Linked DNA regions of Rattus norvegicus. The protein of the gene in region 1 binds, or shares a complex with, the protein of each later gene. Links are inferred from orthologs where the notes say so. Each region holds a gene or a part of one and is shown on either strand. Other genes may lie near its edges.

Region 1 (6,100 bases):
AGAGTATAAAGTGTTGACTATTCATTTTTATCTTAAAAGTGGACTGTATCAATTATGATATTAACTGTTAAAGGTAGTTTTAATGTTTCCGTGTTTGTTGATGGAGGGGCACTGGTGTGCCAGAGTGGGCATGTGGAGGTCAGCGGACAACTCCATAGAGTGGGTTCTCTCTACTGTGTGTCCTGGGAACTGAACTCACGGCATGCTTACACAGCAGTTTCTCCTGTCTGCCCACCTGTCTCAAAAAGTAGCTTTTGGGCTGGAGAGATGGCTCAGCGGTTAAGAGCACCCGACTACTCTTCAAGAGGTCCTGCGTTCAATTCCCAGCAACCACATGGTGGCTCACAACCATCTGTAATGGGATCTGATGCCCTCTTCTGGTGTGTCTGAAGACAGCTACAGTGTACTTATATATAATAAATGAATGAATCTTTTTTTAAAAAAAGTAGCTTTTGCTGAGCTCATTTAAAAAAAAAGCTTAATAGGATGATGTAAATATTTTATGAGTAGGTATGACTACTTGAGAAATGACAATAAAGGCATTATTAAATGGATTAAAAGTAGGCTATCTACTTTCTTTAGTCTTCAGTAATAAAATAGGTTCTCCCTTACCTGTGGTGATTAGGTTGACCTTGTGTTAGGAGGAATACCTTTGTTGTGATTAAATATTTAGAGGTCATTGAACCTGACCAATAATAACTTACACAAAATGACATCCTGAGGACTTCATTTTGATCTCAGTTCCTTCTCTTCCTAAGGACTTTGATGCCATTCCCTGAGTATTATTAAGGGTGATGAACTTGGTAGTTTATAATAGTCATCAAATGGCTTTATGGGGATGAAAAAGGTTAATATTCTCCAAGCACACACGGTACACAAGCATAGGCAGACAGGCATAAAATAAGAGTATCGATTTTTTTTAAAGAATTTTAATTAACTTTCATTAATGTAATTGAGTTACTAAAATGATTATTATATAAAAATATAAAACATTGACTGTTCATTTTAACATAGAAAGGAAACTATATTCTGATGTTTGCTATTAAAGGTAGTTTTTAAAATTGTATTTATTGGTTCTGGGTAAGTGTGATGGAGGGACGTGCAGGTGCCAGTGTGGGCATATGGAGGTCAGAGGACAACTTTTTAAACTGAATTTTCCAGGTATTTAACGATCCTATTCATGGCCATATTGAATTCCACCCCCTCCTCATCCGAATCATTGACACACCTCAGTTCCAGCGGCTTCGCTACATCAAGCAGCTGGGAGGCGGTTACTACGTCTTCCCTGGCGCGTCACACAATCGGTTTGAACACAGTCTCGGGTAAGGAGGGAAAGGGGAGGCTCCTCTAATCCCTTAGAGAGTTACCTTTTCAAGTGGTCGTTGTAACGTCTTCTTTGTATTGGATTCCTGTCAACCGTATTTCGTTTATTTTATGTGTGTGTTTTTAAACTACTTCATATCTTTCCGAATCCTGATGTTTGCCGATCCGTCTTCAGTTGGGTTAAATACTTGTCTGAATACTTCAGTACTCGAATTGAATAGGGCTGGCTGCTGGTATGACTGAGTAGACGCTTAATTAGTTTTCCTTCAGTCCCCACCCAGTCAGTCATTTCATTTCCTTTCTTTGGGGACAGGGGCACCCAGTGGGGTTCAGGCTGACCTCAAACTCAGAGTCCTCCCGTCTCATCTCTTGAGAACTGAGATTCTGGACACCGCGCCTGGCTCCCTTTTGTTGTGTAGAGTCACCTTTTTAAACAAAGTGATTGTGTCAGGAAATTTAGAGAAATGCTCGTAAGCTCTGAGAGGGTTGCCTCTGCTCTGCAGTGAAGCTGAGACTTCGCTGTTTTCCCATCATGCGTGTAGAGCCAGGAGAAGTGGGCAGAGAGTAATTCAGAGTTCACTATTTGACTTTTCTTTCTTTCTTTTTTTTTTAATATTTATTTATTATGTATACAACATATAGCTTTCTACCTGCATGTATGCCTGCAGGCCAGAAGAGGGCATCAGATCTCAATACGGATGGTTGTGAGCCACCATGTGGTTGCTGGGAATTGAACTCAGGACCTCTGGGAGAGCAGTCAATGCTCTTTTTTTTTTTCTTTTTTCTTTTCGGAGCTGGGGACCGAACCCAGGGCCTTGTGCTTGCTAGGCAAGTGCTCTACCACTGAGCTAAATCCCCAACCCCACAGTCAATGCTCTTAACTTCTGAGCCAACTCTCCAGCCCCACTATTTGACTTTTCTAAAAAAAATTTATTGATTTATTTTATGTGTATGAGTAAACTGTAGCTGTCTTCAGACACCCAGAAGAAGGCATCAGATTCCATTACAGATGGTTGTGAGCCACCATGTGGTTGCAGGGAATTGAACTCAGGACCTCTGGAAGAGCAGCCAGTGCTCTTAACCGCTGAGCCATCTCTCCAGCCCCAGTATTTGATTATTTTTACGTACTTTGTGGTTTCCATTTGTTTTTGTTGTTGTTGTTGTTTGTTTTTGTTTTTTTTCTGGAGCTGAGGACCGAACCCAGGGCCTTGTGCTTGCTAGGCAAGCGCTCTACCACTGAGCTAAATCCCCAACCCTGTGGTTTCCATTTGTTATCTAGGCTTTTCCCTTTCTTTCTTTCTTTGTTTTGTTCAGGGTTTCAGTAAACAGCCTAGGCTGGCCTTGAACTTCTAGGCCTAATACTTCTGCCTTAGCCTTGCAAATACACAAGTTACAAGTGTGTGCCACTCTGTCCGGGTTCAATAGTCAAGATGCATGTACCTATACCCAATTTATAAACAACATTTATGAACACTTTCTAGAACCTTCCAAGGCACAAGCAAGTTGTCTGCCTTCCTAGAGCTGAGTTAGGGCAGAGGAAAGAATATATCTATTATTTTTAGGAATTGCTTTCAGAGAGAAGTGCTTGAAAGTGCATTTATCATTTTTTGTGCCTTTGTTTATCTTGTTTTGGTTTGCCTTGCTGGGGATTAGACCCAGGGTCTTACACATGCGAGTCAGGTGCCCCACAGAGCCACCACCTCAGCCCCGCGAAGCCCTCATCTTCAGTCTGTGTTGGAACATCACAGAGACACTGCTCAGAGATCAAAGTGTCAAGTTCCAAAGGTAGCTTTCATCTTTTGAACCTCGGTGTGACTTTCGGTCTTCTTCTCCGCAGAGTGGGGTACCTAGCAGGCTGCCTCGTGCGAGCGCTTGCCGAAAAACAGCCAGAGCTGCAGATCAGTGAACGAGATATGCTCTGTGTTCAGATCGCGGGGCTCTGCCATGACCTTGGTAAGATCACAGAGCTAGCATCTTGTGTAAGGTCCTACCATGTCACCTCGTCTCGGCATTCTAGCCAAAGGAAACGTAGGAGAGTTTTCATTTTTCTTTTCTTCCTCCCTGCCCTTTGGTTTTTTGAGACACGGTTTCTTCCTGTCGCCCCACTTTGTAGACAAGGCTGGCCTCAAACTCAGAAACCCACTGCCTTTCCCTCTAGGATTAAAGATGTGTGCCACTAGCACCTGGGAGTATTTTTAATTTTTTATTAATCACAGTACTTCCTAATACTGATAAGGACAAAAACATTGCTATGACTTGGGAATTTTCTGTATTAAGCATTTTTACCATGTCACATGAAAGACATCATTCATTTATTTATTATTTATTAATTAATTTATGAGATAGGGTTCTTACTGTGTAACCCAAGCTGGCCTAGAACTCACTATATAGCCCAGGCTAGCCTCTAACTCTTGGCAGTCCTCCTGCTTCCGCCTCCAGCATGCTGAGATTACAACCATGAGCCAGTGCCCTGGGCTGAAAGGGCTTTGTGCCCTGAGTTTCTCTTATTCTGTCTTTGGGAGAATGTGATGGGATTTGAGTAAAATAGCTTTTTCCTTTAGTTCCTTTGTAAAATCCACCCCTTCTCACAATTATCACAGGTTTAGAAAAAATGTTCTTCCCTGACTCATAGGAGGTCTTAGGCCAATTAAACTCAAGTAGAAGAATTTCATCCTTTTCATCTTGAGGAAGAAAAAGTTGACTGCCCCAGCTGCTGTTTAGTTACAGGAGAGAGAGAGAGAGAGAGAGAGAGAGAGAGAGAGAGAGAGAGAGAGAGAGCGAGCATGCATGCACACTTCTGTGGGCAGACCCTAAAGGAGCAGAGTGTGGAGCACTGTCTTTCTGTCAGCCCGTAGAGTCCAGGAGGCTCGGCAGCCCTTCTTAGAAGATGCTTGGCTCTTCTCTGCATTTTGGTTTGGGCTGTCAGACTCAAATGCAGAACCTGTACGTGCTAGGCCTTTGCTCTCCCTCTGAGCTGCAACCCCAGCCCGAAATAAATAAACCTTGATTATTTTATGAAAACTCTTTAGTATTCCTTGTAGTAAATTCAAAACAGGAGACAGATCTAAGATCCAATATGATATGGCCTTGCTTCTTATTCTGTTGTTCTGGAAAATTGAAAGGGCAGATTTGTCCTTTTTTTTTGTTTTGTTTTGCTTCGTTAATTTATATATTATTAACAGTAACAGATATTCAAAGTAAACTAAAAAAAATTTTTTTTAAAATTCAGTTTTTGGGGTTTGGGATTTAGCTCAGTGGTAGAGCGCTTGCCTAGCAAGTGCAAGGCCCTGGGTTTGGTCCCCAGCTCCGAAAAAAAGAAAAAAAAAGAATTCAGTTTTTACCAATTTACAAATATTTTTTTATTTGAAGGCTGCTTTTGTTTTTAGGTCATGGGCCATTCTCCCATATGTTTGATGGAAGATTTATTCCACTTGCTCGCCCAGACATAAAGTGGAGGGTATGTATTCCGTGTCCCAAAGTCAGTGGAAAGAAACAGAATCTTATCTAGTTACTCAACTATATTCTCTGTTTTCCCTCTCTGTGCTCTAGCATCCTTCCCTGGAACAGCATTCAGGGTCCTTCTGTTCACCTGTGTCTGTTTCAGTCCTCACAGTAGCCTGTGGAGAAAGAACCTTATCTTCCATTCAGAGTCCTCAGGAACATAGAGATGTGCCTGACTGCACATAGCCATGGAGTGGTGGACCAGCCCTAGAGAGCCAGCCCTCCTGGTTCAGAGCAGCATCCTTTCTACTCTGTCACATTACTGCAGATATATATATATATATATATATATATATATATATATATATATATATATATATATATAATGTATACAGCATTCTGCCTGCAGAACCAGAATCCTCAGGCACCAGATCTCATTATAGGTCATTATGAACCACCATGTGGTTGCTGGGACTTGAACTCAGGACCTCTGGAAGAGCAGTCAGTGCTCTTAACTCTGAGCCATCTCTGCAGCCCCTAGAGTTTGTTTTTAAAGCCCAGCTTCAGTTTTTATTTTGGTATAGTTAAGCGTCACTGGTTTTAGTCATTGAGCGTTTGTTTTTAATACAGGGTTTTCCTGTATAGTCTAGATTGACTTTGACCGCTCCCTCTGCCGCAACCTCCCCAATGCTGAGATGTTACGCCCTCACCCCAAGCTTTAAGTGAACCCTTTATAATTACGCATTTACTGGTGATGAACCTGGACATTTTGAAGCAGTTTCTGAGAAATGGAATTGACTTCCTGGTTTCTACTACACTGGGAAGGAAAAAGCACAGGAACCTTAGCCGAAAGCTTATGCCAAACTGTTTTTTTTTTCTCTGCCTTTTTTTGGAGTATATTGCATTCACTAAATTACACAGATTTTTGTGGTGGCGCTTTTATTTTGAGACAAGGTGGCCTTGGAGACTGAGCTGGCCTTGAAACTGGGAGATTGCCTGCTTCCGTTTCTCTAGAGCTGGGATATAAAGCGCGTACTATGACTCCCGGCTGAGATTGTGGAGAGCTGACTTGAGTTTGGCAAGTGTACACATGCAGTGGGGATGTGGACCATTCTCATCGTTCAGAAAGCCCTCCCTGTGGCCCGGCTTGTTTTCTGTGATGCTGGGAATCAAACCCACAGCAGAGCATGCGCACAGCTTAGTCTGTCTCCTCTCAGACTTGGTGTCTTGGTTTCCCTTGTATTGTCTAATCTGTTGCAAATATGATTTCCTGTTGTTTGCACTTTGTGTGTGTGTGAGGGGGCGGAGGGAGAGGTGTGTGTGTGTGTGTGTGTGT
Region 2 (6,100 bases), on another chromosome or scaffold:
GTTCTATTTTTATAATTTACTTATTATGCATGTGTGTATGATATACAGGTACGGTCATGCATGTAGAAGTCAGAAGATAACTTTGCAGAGTTAGCGTTAGTTTCTCCTTCTACCTTTACGTGGGTTCCAAGGAATAAAATGAGGCAGTCAGGATTTGCACAGTAAGCACCTTTCTCCACTAATCCACCTTGCTGGCCTGGACTTTTTTGTTTTGTTTGTTTTTCTTTTGTTGAAATAGATTCTCTGGCTGGAAGAGAACTTACTCTGTAACCCAAACTGGCTTTGAACTCACAATCATTCCTGTTTCCAATGTACACGTAGCTAAAACTCCCCTATCAAAAGATGGCCAAGTATTTCATTTCCCTTCTGAAATCTGATTCCACATCAACTCTAGTTAACCATTCGTATAAAATAAAGTCCAATAAATGGTAAAACTCTTTCAACTCTAGCTCCCCAATCAATCTCAAAATGAGAGCACCCAGGGGTTGGGGATTTAGCTCAGCGGTAGAGCACTTGCCTACCAAGCACAAGGCCCTGGGTTCGGTCCCCAGCTCCAAAAAAAAGGAAAAAAAAAAAAAAAAAAAAACTGAGAGCACCCAGGAAAGGAATCCTCACCCTCGACGGTTCAAGATGTGTGATGGCAGAATTGTGACAGTTGTAGCTGGCCTCTTCCTGCCCACTAAAAACATTGTAGAGCTTCAGCTGCCCTGTGCAGGTGCCAAGCATCAGGAAGCGCTCCCGGGCCGAGAAAGCACAACAGGTGAAGCCACTTTCATCCTCATTAGCTTCCCGGAACACTGAAATAGGACGGAATCTAAACAAGGGGGGATATAATCAGAAAAAAGAATGTGGGGGAACTCTGAAAAACAAATTTTGCTAGATGTTGTAAGGAAAGAGTATTATGTTTCAAAATGTGGATTCTAAAGAATTACACTGGCATTCAATAATTTAAATTTTCAATTAAAAAAAAAAGACTTGTAGAAAGTGTGCAGACAGATAATCTGTATCTATGATTTATAAAGAAAGAGACAGTTTGAGCAATGGCGGGAAACAATGAATTGTTTAAGTCCTAAAGCAGCCTACTGGGTGTGACAACAGCAAAGGTATGTAAGCACTGCCAAGAATCTAAAGAAGTCCATAACTGACTGATCAGCTCACATAGCACATGAAGGACACTGAGTTAATCAATACTGCAGGCCAGCAAATGACTTTAACTAATCACTCAGTGATGATACTAACCAAACACTGATTTAAATAAAAGAATCATCCCAAGGAATTCAGGGAGCCTCTCCTTACCTGCTAAAGATAAGGTGCCTATCAAAGCATCCACCATCCACCCCTCCATATTTTGGAAATGATGCCCTGCGGTTTAGCCTTGAGGTAAAGTTTATTGGCGCCTGCCGCCTCTGTTTTGGCTCAGGACACTGATGAGGAGTAAAGAGAGAAAAAGGAGGACAGGTGGCAACGGGGTTCTTGCATCGAGCATGTTGCTCTCTAAGATACTCTGTGATGATACTGTCCAGCGTAGGTGGGGAAGGAAGATGTCTATCCAATTGTTTTTTTATGGCAGGGCTCTGGCTGTATGCACCATGGTCCGACTTCTGCCGCAACACTCGAATTTTCCTGCCATTGCAAGGTGATGGCCTCTCTCTGATAAAACTGATCCTACCAATCAAAGGAGAGTTGCCTGCATACGATGGGCCAGGCAAAGCCAATGAACCCTGGGGGGGGCGTGGTGGAGGATGGGCCGGGGGAGCAGAAGGGGCAGAAGCACCCACAGCAGCATGGCTGCCCAGTCGACTTGCAATGCCGTTGGCAATCCGAGGGGTCCGGGGAAGAGAGACAGGAGAAGCAGCAGCAGTTACTGGGGTGAAAGCAGAAGAATGTGAGGCAGCAGTCATGGGCAGGTCAGCCTCTCTCGTCAGCACAGTTGCTGTCTCTCCAAGCCCTTTAGAAATGAGATGGTTCCGGATCAACAGGAGCAGCTCTTTCTCAGGGAAGGAGATCCTCGACTGAGCAACAACATCTGCTTTCTGCAGTCGTGCGAGAGACACATCAGTGCCAATGAGAAGAGGCTTTCCTGATACACGCTCAATGAGCTCAGCAGCGTACTTGCAGAACTTGACATGGTCACTACGCTTATCCTGCAGCACAGGCTCCTTCATCAGCTGTTGAATCTGGCAGCTACTGAAAAGGGGAAGTTTACTGATGATCTGCCGAACAGTGCTACTTCGAGAGAGGCCCACAAGGGCCTTGCAGGCCAGGGCCCGGATCTGGTCTGCATCTGTAATGGGCATCTTGATGGACAACAGGGACAGAAGCACCTTGATGCCATTGTTGGACTGGACCACATTCCACATCTTGGCCAGCGTATGCTCACTGCTTTTGGGGGTCTGAGACAGCTTTCTCCGAGGAGTTCCAGAAATAAATTTGCCAATACTGGATATTCGGTTATCTGGGCCACATACACAATTGATGATAATTTGAAGTGCTGACTTCTGAATTTCAGCATCATGGATAAAGAACTCACCCTCAGCCACTCCCAAAATAATGCTGATACCTACAACACAGAAAAAAAAAATATATTATTCTTCATAAAACTAATAGCTAGAAGATCCATGTCAGCATATTACAGGAACACTTTATATATCCATCTTTACTGTGCACTATTAACAACAGCCAAGTTATGGGCTCAGTATAAGCATCCATCAACAGACAGATGGACAAAGAAGGCATTGTGCGCGATGAATCTTACTCAGCAATAAAAAAAGAATGAAATTATGTTATTTTACAAGAAAATAGATGGAGCTGGCATAATGGCTTATTGAGTAAAAGCTCTTGGCATCAAGCCTCCAGATACGAGTTTTATCCTAAGAACTGACATTTGTGGAGAGAACTTACTCCAGTAAGTACATTACCCTCTTATCCTCCACATATACACCATGGTATGCAAGAACACACACAAATCAAATAAGAAAATGGATGGATCTCAAGATATGTTATATATGTTATATCTAAAATATAACATAATCCATATACAAAATCTAGAATTAAAATGAAAAAGAAGAAAAACCCAGACATCTAGGGTGGCAGCATTCGAAAGCCAAGGTAGGAAGATACTAACAATTTCAATGCAAGCTTGGCCTACATAGTAAATTTCAGGTCAGCCTGGACTAGAGTAAGAACCTGTCTCAAAAGAAACTCACACCAAAAATGGCATGGAACTAAAATGGACCCTAACTAAGAGAAAAATGGTGACCCTTTTGGTTTATTTTATTGTTTTGTTTTGTTTATGAGACAGTCTCTCTCTTCACAGCCCTGGCTGTCCTAGAATTCACTCTGTAGACCTGGTTAGACTCCGACTGAGAGATCCACCTGCCTTTGCCTCCCAAGTGCTGGGATTAAAGGCATACACTACCATGTGTGGCAAAGGAGGGGTCTTAAAAAGGGAAAAGATGAGGGTGCTGGGAGGAAGACAAACAAAGTGAAGCATTCTGTCTTATATACAGAATCTGAATTTAAATACGCGTGCACGGGACATGATAGCAGAAGAGGGTGGGAAGGAAGAAGTGGAAAGTGTATGTGAGCAAGGTACCTTTACTTTAGAGAGTTTTAAAAGGGCCAAGGAGATGGCTCAGAGGGTAAAAATGCTTGCTGTGTAACGTACAAGCCTGATGAGTTGAGTTTGACAACCAGAACCCATGTTTTAAAAAAAACAAAATGCTGGATGCTGTACTAATCTGTAATAGCAGCACTTCCACAGGAAGACAAAGATGATGGGCAAACAGACTGCTTAGAAGTTCACAGAATCCACAGCAACAATATAAGAGGAAAGAGCTAACACCCAAAAGCTAGTTGTCTTCTAGTCTCTACATGTGTTTCATCTACAGGAACACAAACACACGAACACACACACACACCCCTCCCTACTCCCTCCTCCCTCCCTCCCTCCCTCCCTCTCTATTTTTTTAAACAAAAGCTAATGGCTGCCAGGCAGTAGTGGTACATGCCTTTCAGAAGCAGGGGCAGGTGGATCTATGTGAATTTGAGGCCAATCCAGTCTACAGAGCAAGTTCCAGGACAGTCAGGGCTACATAGAGAAACCCTGTCTCAAAACAAAAACAAAAAAAACAACAAACAAACAAAAACATTAATGACTGCTGCCCCCAGTGTTGACACAACTTCATAGTTTGAAATTCTATTCATTTCACTCTACTTAAGAAAGAAAGGAAGGAAGAAGAAAAAAAAAAAATGCTAGCCACACATGGTGGTACACACGAATGTATCCAGCGTGCAGTAGGTGGAGGTCGGTCATCCTCAGCTATATACTGAGTCAGAGACCAGCCTGGAATACATGGAACCCCATCTCAACACAAGCCATCCAAATACCAGCCAACCAACCAAAAAATAGTACAAGAATCATTCTGCTACATTCTCTGTGCCTTAATGGTATAATATCTCATGTATACTTTAATACAGAGGGATAATGGGAAGTGTGAAAGTCACCAAAGTCTGTGTGCATATTTCCTAGGTAAAAGGGACAAAAGCAGTCATGATATTAAAACCTTCATGGAAAAGCCACATGCACTCAGCTTAGCCACTATCACAGCTATAGGAACCTTATCCACTATTAAAAGATTAAAAATAGGTGCTTGAGCCTTAGGCAGTGTCATTCCTGGGCATTGGCCTGAGGAGCTCTAGTCATCACTTCACCTTAGCAACCTTCTCATACATGCTTTCTTCTTTGCTGTGTTTCTGAGATAGTCCTCAGTCAGGTTATCAAGCTCTTGTCCTTCATTGTTTGTCCCAATTTAGTAATTATCATAAAGGGAAGTCCTGGGAATTGCACAAACACAAGTGCAGAAATATCTGAACCACTTAGAAAGCCAAATTTTATTAGTATGACTCTCTTTGTAAGAACTGTATGGTGCCAGTTACAGTAGACAAAGTACCCTACTCTAGAACCGTCTATACCAGTGGTTGGTTCTCAACTTTCCTAATGCTATAATTCTTTTTTTTTTTCTTTTTTTCGGGGCTGGGGACCGAACCCAGGACCTTGCGCCTCCTAGGCAAGCGCTCTACCACTGAGCCAAATCCCCAACCCCGCTATAATTTTTTAATACAGTTGTGGTTACCCTCAATCATAAAATATTTTTCATTGCTATTCCAGAACTATAACTTTGCTATTGTTATGAATCAATGTAAATATCTGATGAGCATGATATCTGATATGCGACCCAGGAAAGGGCTTTCAACCTCAAAGAGGTTACAACCCACAGGTTGAGAACCACTGTCCTATTTTAACATCCTGAAATTAGGTTACAAATGAGACCATATGAGCAAAGGCAAATCTACCACACAACAACAGCAATGGCAAGGTACAACTGACAGATAGTTTAGTCTGTAAATTATCTGCCTGGCCACCACAGGACTGAAGTTTGAACCCTAAAACCAACCAGAAAGAGAAAAGAAAAAAAGAAAAAAAAAAAAGCCAGTTCAGTCAATCTATGCATGGTGATGCATGTTTGTATCCTAATACTGGGGAAGAAGAAGAAAACCCATGATCAATGACGAACCAGCCTAGCAGACTTGGTAAGTTCCAGGTATCATCAAGAAAAACAGTTGATGTCTGAAGAATGACAGCTCATGTTGTCCTCTGGCCTTCACACACATGCATATACCTGTATATTCACAAAAACCAGCACAGTAACAAGGTGCAACCCACCTACAGTGGAGACAGTAGAGCCAGCCTCGTCCAGTACATCCACTGACTCTGCCAACTGGAGCTGGATTTTTGGCACCACAGTGAGAATAGCCAGGACATCCAAAGCAAAGCGCACAGTGTCATTCCTAAATAGGAAGAAGAATTGGTCAACAAGGAACTACCATGGCAAAAATAAATAAATAAATTTAAAAAAAAACAAATATATGACAGGTTGAAGCCATTTAAACAGTTCTATTTTTTTAAATACTTAAAACTATGAGAATATGCTGGATACTCTTAAAAATAATCTGGAAGTCAGACAGTGGTGGCACACACCTTTGACCCCAGAACTTGGAAGGCAGAGGCAGAGGCAGAGGCAGGAGGATCTCTGTGTAT
Region 3 (6,434 bases), on another chromosome or scaffold:
TCTTGTATAGTACATGCTAAAAGACTTACTATATGTGTGCTACAGATTTTATGAGTGCCTTGAAGGCTAATCAGGCACCAGATCTAGAGTTGCAGGCAATTGTGACCACCCCCAAGCCCCCAAATCTGAGTGCTATTACCAGAACTCATGGCAATATGCACTGAGAGAACATTCTGCCTGCCTTCATAAAAGGGAATTGTTACGTAAGCCTTTGGTGGTATTGTTTTGACAGGGGAACAGTGTTGGTTTAATTAGGTAACTGGGGGGTTGGGGATTTAGCTCAGCGGTAGAGTGCTTGCCTAGCAAGCACAAGGCCCTGGGTTCGATCCCCAGCTCCAAAAAAAAAAAAAAAAAGAAAAAAATGAATTAGGTAACTGGGTATTTTAAGGTAAAGAGCCTAATTAGGATTAGTGATGCTATTTCTTATCATCTCACTCTGCACATGTGTATACCTCTTTTCAGAGGCCTTTGTTTCTGGTTTTAAGAATCCCGAGCGGGGTTGGGGATTTAGCTCAGTGGTAGAGCGCTTGCCTAGGAAGCGCAAGGCCCTGGGTTCAGTCCCCAGCTCCGAAAAAAAACAAAAACAAAAAAAAACAAAAACAAAAAAAAAAAAAGAATCCCGAGCAGTGAAACACACAGCCAGCCAAATGGGCAAAGGGTTAAATTGCAAGCTTTATTTACACACATATATAATTACTGTTCAAGAGAAAAATGGCAAAAAAGCAGTTTTCTACAGTTTTCATGGTCAGCTCTGGTAGCAAGAACATCCTAGCTTACATGTCCTCTGGGAGAGAAAGAAAAAAAGAAAAAGCTTACAGAAAACATCAGTTTTTACAAATTTTCAGAGCTGCGAGGAGCTACTTAGAATAGGGTAAGATTTGGAAAGAGTATGTATCAGCCTCCAGGCAGCATAGTTGAGCTTTTAGTTAGCCTGGAAATGGGAGCATTAGGACCTCTGATGTGGTCAAGTAGTAAACTCCTTTTTTGGAATTTTCTTAAAGGTGCCCCTATAGTGCTATCAGATAGTGAAGAAGAAGAAATGATTATTTTGGAGCCAGAGAAGAGTCCAAAAAAAATAAGGTAACAAATTTCTGGTCTCTTTCAAATATACATTTAAAAACTGGCCGTAGTTCTATAAAATGGTCCAAGTGGTCTAATCCAGGACAGATGGGGGTACAGTGAGCTGTTATATTACTTTATTCACAGAGCTCAGACCAGTGCAAACCAGAAGGCACCAAGTAAAAGTCAAGGGAAAAGGAGGAAAAAGAAGAGAACTGCTAATTAAGCTAAAGTGGTGTGGATGTGTATGTATATATATATATAAAATATATATATATATAACTAATAAGAGGGTATTTGCTCAGTGCTAACAGCTCTGGATATTTTTTATTTGAAAATCTATTATGAGCTGAACTTAATAAACTGTTTTGTCTTTAACATTATGCTTCGAATAAACTTTCTGGAAAACTTTTCTGTTGCATAAAAGCTTCCCAATTCATGTAAAACCTTATTTGTAAAAGTTGGTAAATAAAATGTCTCCATAAACTACTGTAACATGTGAGCTCTGAATGAGTTCTGCTACACTGAAAACAGATTCATCTACTTTTGGTTACTTATAACCAAGTCAGAAACTTGGTTTGGTTGCTTACAATTATTAAAATCAATGTCAAAATTTGAAGGCATCTTTCCCTGAAATATTTTATTTTATAAAAAGCTTTCCCTACCCCACCCTCAACAATAAAACAAATCAAATTAGCTTTTTTAAGTGACATCATTCTTTTTGCCTCAAATTAACTTTGACTTGCAAAGATTTCTGAATCAATTTATTCTTATTATCCTGACAGTTGGCAGCACCAATGTTAACAAACCAATTAAAATTAGCCAAATTATCTATCACTTTCAAAGATTTCCAAATCAATTTATTCTTATTATCTTGACAGTTGGCAGCACCAATGTTAACAAACCAATTAAAAATTAGCCAAAATCTAAGATAGACACATGTACAAAAGATATACAAATTAAAACCATTTTAAAAGTAATGGATAACATAATTTGTCTGTGGCTATACCATCTACATTCAGAAATGATTGTGAAATTAAAACCAAAGATAAAAACTGTACAGCATGAACTCTGAGCGATTTCCATTTCAGTCTTTCACTCTCACACATTTAGTGTCTCTGGTGGGTTGAGAAGAGAAACACTGTGATATCTGTTAAGCAGAGGAAATAAAAACCTATTAGTAAACATTCATCGGGGAGATCACAGAACAAACAATTTATGCGTCCCAAGACTGGAGAAATGCTACTTTTATTTGATTAGACTAATGAGTTTAAAAACATTTGATACTTAGGACACATATCTGTTCCCTTACCCATCTCTTACCAGATGCAAAGGCACAAAAGCTTCCTATGTTGACATAAGATCTTACTGAGGTGGCTGTGGCATATTACTGTTATCCTTTAGTCAGTAAAGAATATGGTTCTTACTTTGAATGCTTGTACTTTTCCCTTATTGACTGTTGGGCATGCTGTGGTGCTTTGAGGTAGGTCTGGTGAAGGTCCATGAGACAAGGCTTAAGACTTTCTAGGGTATATCCAGTCTTTTGTACCAATGACTCAGGCTACAAAGAGACAACCATTGAGTTTTTAGTAACAGCACAGGGCACTGACCATGAACTCACAGTTGATCTAAATGTTGGCACTAATCTTTGACACATTTTTTAATTTTAATTTTTATAAATTTATTTACATTCCAAATGTTGACCCCTCCCCTTTGCCTCCGAGAGTGCCAACCCCCACATTTTAGCTCACTCTTTTGACTGTTTACTTCCCCTGCTCGCAGCAGGTGACTCAGACTCTAGAAGCAGAGCTTTCAAATGCAAGTTTAAGGTTAAGACAAAGAACACCAATACTTGTGAAGGCAACAGTTAATACATACCCAGCTTTGTCCTGTGACTGTGTAGAGAGCTAAGTGGAAGGCAGCTCCAGCAATAAGCGATGGCAAATACTTGAGGTATGGGTCAGCATCTATCAAACTTAACTCTCCCAAAAACTGCAATGAAAACCAAAACCAAAACAACTTTACAGTCACACATCAGACTCAGATTCAAAACCTTGCTTCTTGACCAGTTTCTATTGTCTTGGGTACTCTCACTGGTTCCGTACCAGCCCTGGGAAAATTATTTCAATGTTCTGCTCTATTCTCAGCTAATAACTTAAAACAGCTACTAGGATGTTCTCTTTAAACCACTAGTTAGTGCCTTTCTGGAATGGTCATCTTTGGGCCTTCATTGGAAAATTCTCTCCTGGACCTCTCAGCCCTTATCCACGGACACCAGATACTCAAGTCTCTTACATATGCCATTTCATAAGCTAATGCTACATGCATATCACTAGTACAATATTACGTGTAATACAAAAAAGATCGATTGATATGTGTTTATCCAGTACATAGGCAGTTACATTTAATGTCTGTTCATTGATTCCATATGCGCAGAGCCCACAGATATAGAGGGCTATAGGATTTTCTGTGTATTGGAGCATTAACTATCTGGAAATACTTTCTCTCTTAAGCAGTGTTATACAATGAAACTAAGGGCTTGCCCCTAATTGCAACCTAAAACAAACCCCAAACTGGACTTACCATCGCTAAGCTTTCTACCTTGCAGTTGGCAGGCTGCAGGTGCAGGAAGTACTGGGTAAGGAACTGATTTACTGTTGGTGCAGCCAAGTCAAAAGCAAGGACTTTCAATACAAGGTGCTCCATTCTCAGAACCTGCTTCTTGGAATAGGTATCGTCCGTAATATACACAAACTCTGCTACTTCTGGGGGGTATATTTCTTCAAACTTTCTATAACAAAAGAAGTTGTAAATGAGTTTTTTCAAAAGAAGGTCTTGTCTACATAGACTGTACTCTACTCACTTCCACCAACCACACTCCCACTGACAGTTGACTGCCATCTCTAGCTGAGATGATTAAAAACCAATTCATAGGCCCAAATCACTAAGGGACTTCTGATTTGTCTCCTGAATACAATTTTTTTTTAAATTTCCTGATGTAAGGAAGAATTTGTTTATACTCCAGAAAGCACTTTATTGTAGAAGAACCATACTTTCAAACTCTTCATCTAGTGTGATAAAATGTATTCTCATTCAAGGCATGTAAAATCCAGATCTGGAAAGCTTTATATTTTAGACTTGAAAACAAGTTTCACCCTCTACTCAGAATCATCCCATAGCCATCCCTAAAGGTGTCAGTGTTAAAACTGGGGGTTGAAGAGATGGCACAATGACTGGGACCCAATGCCCTCTTTTGGCCTCAGCAGGCACCACACATGTGCTACAGATACGCACGATGCACAAAGGCAAAACACCCAATAAAATATAAATGGAATATAAATGGGGGGAAGGAGTGGTGAGTGATGATTTTGAACCAAATTAGCTAGACTTACGAAGCTAGCAGCATAGCAGCTGTGCCCACAAGCTGAAGCTTTCCTCTTAACACAGACATGGAGGAGAGGAATCTATCAATGTAGTTCACAGCCAAATGCAGGGTCTCATTCTGTAGTTTATATTCTTCTCCCACTTCAACTAGCCAGTCCACAAGGATGGCCCGCATACTGTTAGTGATGTCTGGCTGCCTCTTCATATAACTCACTTTAGGTTTACATTTAACCTGAAGAAAAACTCAGTAGGGTTAATTAAAACTATGATTAGTTACTTCACCATTCACAAAGACACAATTAACATACACTGTAGCCGTTAAGTTTAGCGTTGGAGTAACTTGCTAGCAGTTAGCAGGTGTCCATCGTTAGCCTCTCTGCTTCACTTAGCCATTTTTGATGAACAGAGCCTTACCTCCATTTCCCTAAGGTACGTGTGAATATCTTCATGATAGTCAGGTACTTCATTAACATTCACTGGCTTTTCGTCTTCTAAGACAATAGATATATCCATAGCATGGGGTGATTCTGTGTATGACATTAAAGTCAAAGTATTTATCTCTTTCGATAAAAACACCCTAATGGCAAAGCAACACTGAATATCTTATTCTGGTTTTAGGGCTACTGTCCTCATAGCTCTAGGATAACCTTAATCCCAAAAAAGAAGTATACATCAGTAGGCTACTAAGAGGACTGAGAATTACCTTAACGTGTCATCTTCCTCAAGAGATGAGTAGATAATACAATGGTTCTGTTAGGACAAGTACTTAACATCAAATTTTAAAATAAATAAATAAATATATATTATGTATGTTTTGAGATCGCAGAACCTACAGGTTGACATAGTCAGATCACAATGAGGGAGTAACTAGAATTGGGTAAATGGCATATATTACCAAATGTTAGTAAAGATATCAAGTCTGTCATACCATGTTCAAACAGACTAACTATAATCTGTAAGGGACTTGGTGTTTGTTAAACAGGGTCTCATTCTGTGGGCCAGACTGGCCTGAAATTCACTCCGTAACCTAGGCTGACAATCTTGCCTTAGCCTCCTGAGTGCTATTGGGCATTAATATACTCAGCTCTAGTTTTTACCATTTAAATTATCTTGAGATAGGGGAATCTGTGTAATAATAGTTTCCATACCCTCCTCCTACCCCATCAGTAGAACTAAGTGAACTGGGGGGCTGGGAAATGGCAGTGCAGTGCCTGCTGGATAAGCATGAAGATGTGCATTGCATTCCCAGCACCACTCAAGCTAGATGTTGTGGCATTGTCTGCAACCCTAGACGGGAAGAAGAAAAAGGGTTGAAATACTCAGTTCCCTGCAGTTTGATGGCCAGGCTGTCTAGCCAAATCAGTGAGCCCCAATGAGACCTTTGATTAAGAAATGATATAGAAAAGTGATTGAAGATACCCCAAAGTCAAGTACTCTCTCTAGCCTCTACATGTACCAGCACAGGCAAGCGTAATACTCCTTCCCCTGGCACACATATAGCATAAGGTAGAAAGTGACAGATACCAACATCTCTGGTCTCCACAGTGAGATCATAGCACCGGCAGAGCTGTCTATAGCAGCTATTCTGCCTTCCATGTGTCTGACCTGCAATCTGACAAACATTTAAATTAGTTTTAAAGGAATGGCAGATATAATGCTTAAAACTGTAGGCTCAAGGAGCACTCTTAGGACTGGCATGTTAAGAAGTGAATCATACATAAAACTGAAATCTATTATCTCAGCCAAACACTTATAAAGTCATATTAAGATAGGCATTTAAGATCTAATTAAAATTGATGTAGCTTTGTCCAGCAGTGCCCTCCCTGCTGGTTAAGGATTTGAGTCCTTTTATAGGTCAGTGGATCTGTGATCCTTTCTAAGCCCACTGTAGTAATCTTAACTCACTGTGTTATGAGCAGGTAAGCATAGTCTTAAAACTCAAAAATATCAACCGCAGGACTTTTGGTGACTGCAGTCGATCAGTGCTAAAG

The links. Proteins that work in one complex are often made in the same cells at the same time.
Region 2: the proteins of Samhd1 (region 1) and Dcaf1 are in contact, whole or in part, in a crystal structure (PDB 4CC9), measured with the Homo sapiens proteins. The link is inferred for Rattus norvegicus from reciprocal best matches to the Homo sapiens genes SAMHD1 and DCAF1. Residues at the interface, in NP_056289.2 of Homo sapiens: Ser616, Arg617, Val618, Gln619, Lys622; in NP_001336097.1 of Homo sapiens: Asn1090, Glu1091, Asp1092, Thr1114, Gln1116, Asn1132.
Region 3: the proteins of Samhd1 (region 1) and Ccna2 are in contact, whole or in part, in a cryo-EM structure (PDB 9HIW), measured with the Homo sapiens proteins. The link is inferred for Rattus norvegicus from reciprocal best matches to the Homo sapiens genes SAMHD1 and CCNA2. Residues at the interface, in NP_056289.2 of Homo sapiens: Lys615, Ser616, Arg617, Val618, Gln619, Leu620, Phe621, Lys622; in NP_001228.2 of Homo sapiens: Met210, Ile213, Leu214, Trp217, Glu220, Val221, Glu224, Arg250, Leu253, Gln254, Tyr280, Ile281, Thr282, Asp283, Asp284, Thr285.

What each region holds. Positions count from the first base shown.
Region 1 is NC_086021.1:166,199,616-166,205,715, reverse strand, and holds part of Samhd1 (deoxynucleoside triphosphate triphosphohydrolase SAMHD1), read left to right. Parts: intron 1-1,161; coding exon 1,162-1,322; intron 1,323-3,160; coding exon 3,161-3,276; intron 3,277-4,709; coding exon 4,710-4,780; intron 4,781-6,100.
Region 2 is NC_086026.1:116,393,239-116,399,338, reverse strand, and holds part of Dcaf1 (DDB1- and CUL4-associated factor 1), read right to left. Parts: intron 5,851-6,100; coding exon 5,726-5,850; intron 2,561-5,725; coding exon 1,297-2,560; intron 815-1,296; coding exon 616-814; intron 1-615. UniProt on the Homo sapiens protein: Acts both as a substrate recognition component of E3 ubiquitin-protein ligase complexes and as an atypical serine/threonine-protein kinase, playing key roles in various processes such as cell cycle, telomerase regulation and histone modification.
Region 3 is NC_086020.1:121,353,557-121,359,990, forward strand, and holds the end of Ccna2 (cyclin-A2), read right to left. Parts: intron 6,056-6,434; coding exon of another isoform or gene 5,968-6,055; intron 4,971-5,967; coding exon 4,858-4,970; intron 4,676-4,857; coding exon 4,452-4,675; intron 3,851-4,451; coding exon 3,643-3,850; intron 3,052-3,642; coding exon 2,938-3,051; intron 2,621-2,937; coding exon 2,487-2,620; intron 2,210-2,486; coding exon 2,161-2,209; 3' UTR 1,807-2,160; downstream 1-1,806. Other genes in the region: Exosc9 (exosome complex component RRP45), read left to right, coding at 945-1,080, 1,207-1,285. UniProt on the Homo sapiens protein: Cyclin which controls both the G1/S and the G2/M transition phases of the cell cycle. Functions through the formation of specific serine/threonine protein kinase holoenzyme complexes with the cyclin-dependent protein kinases CDK1 or CDK2.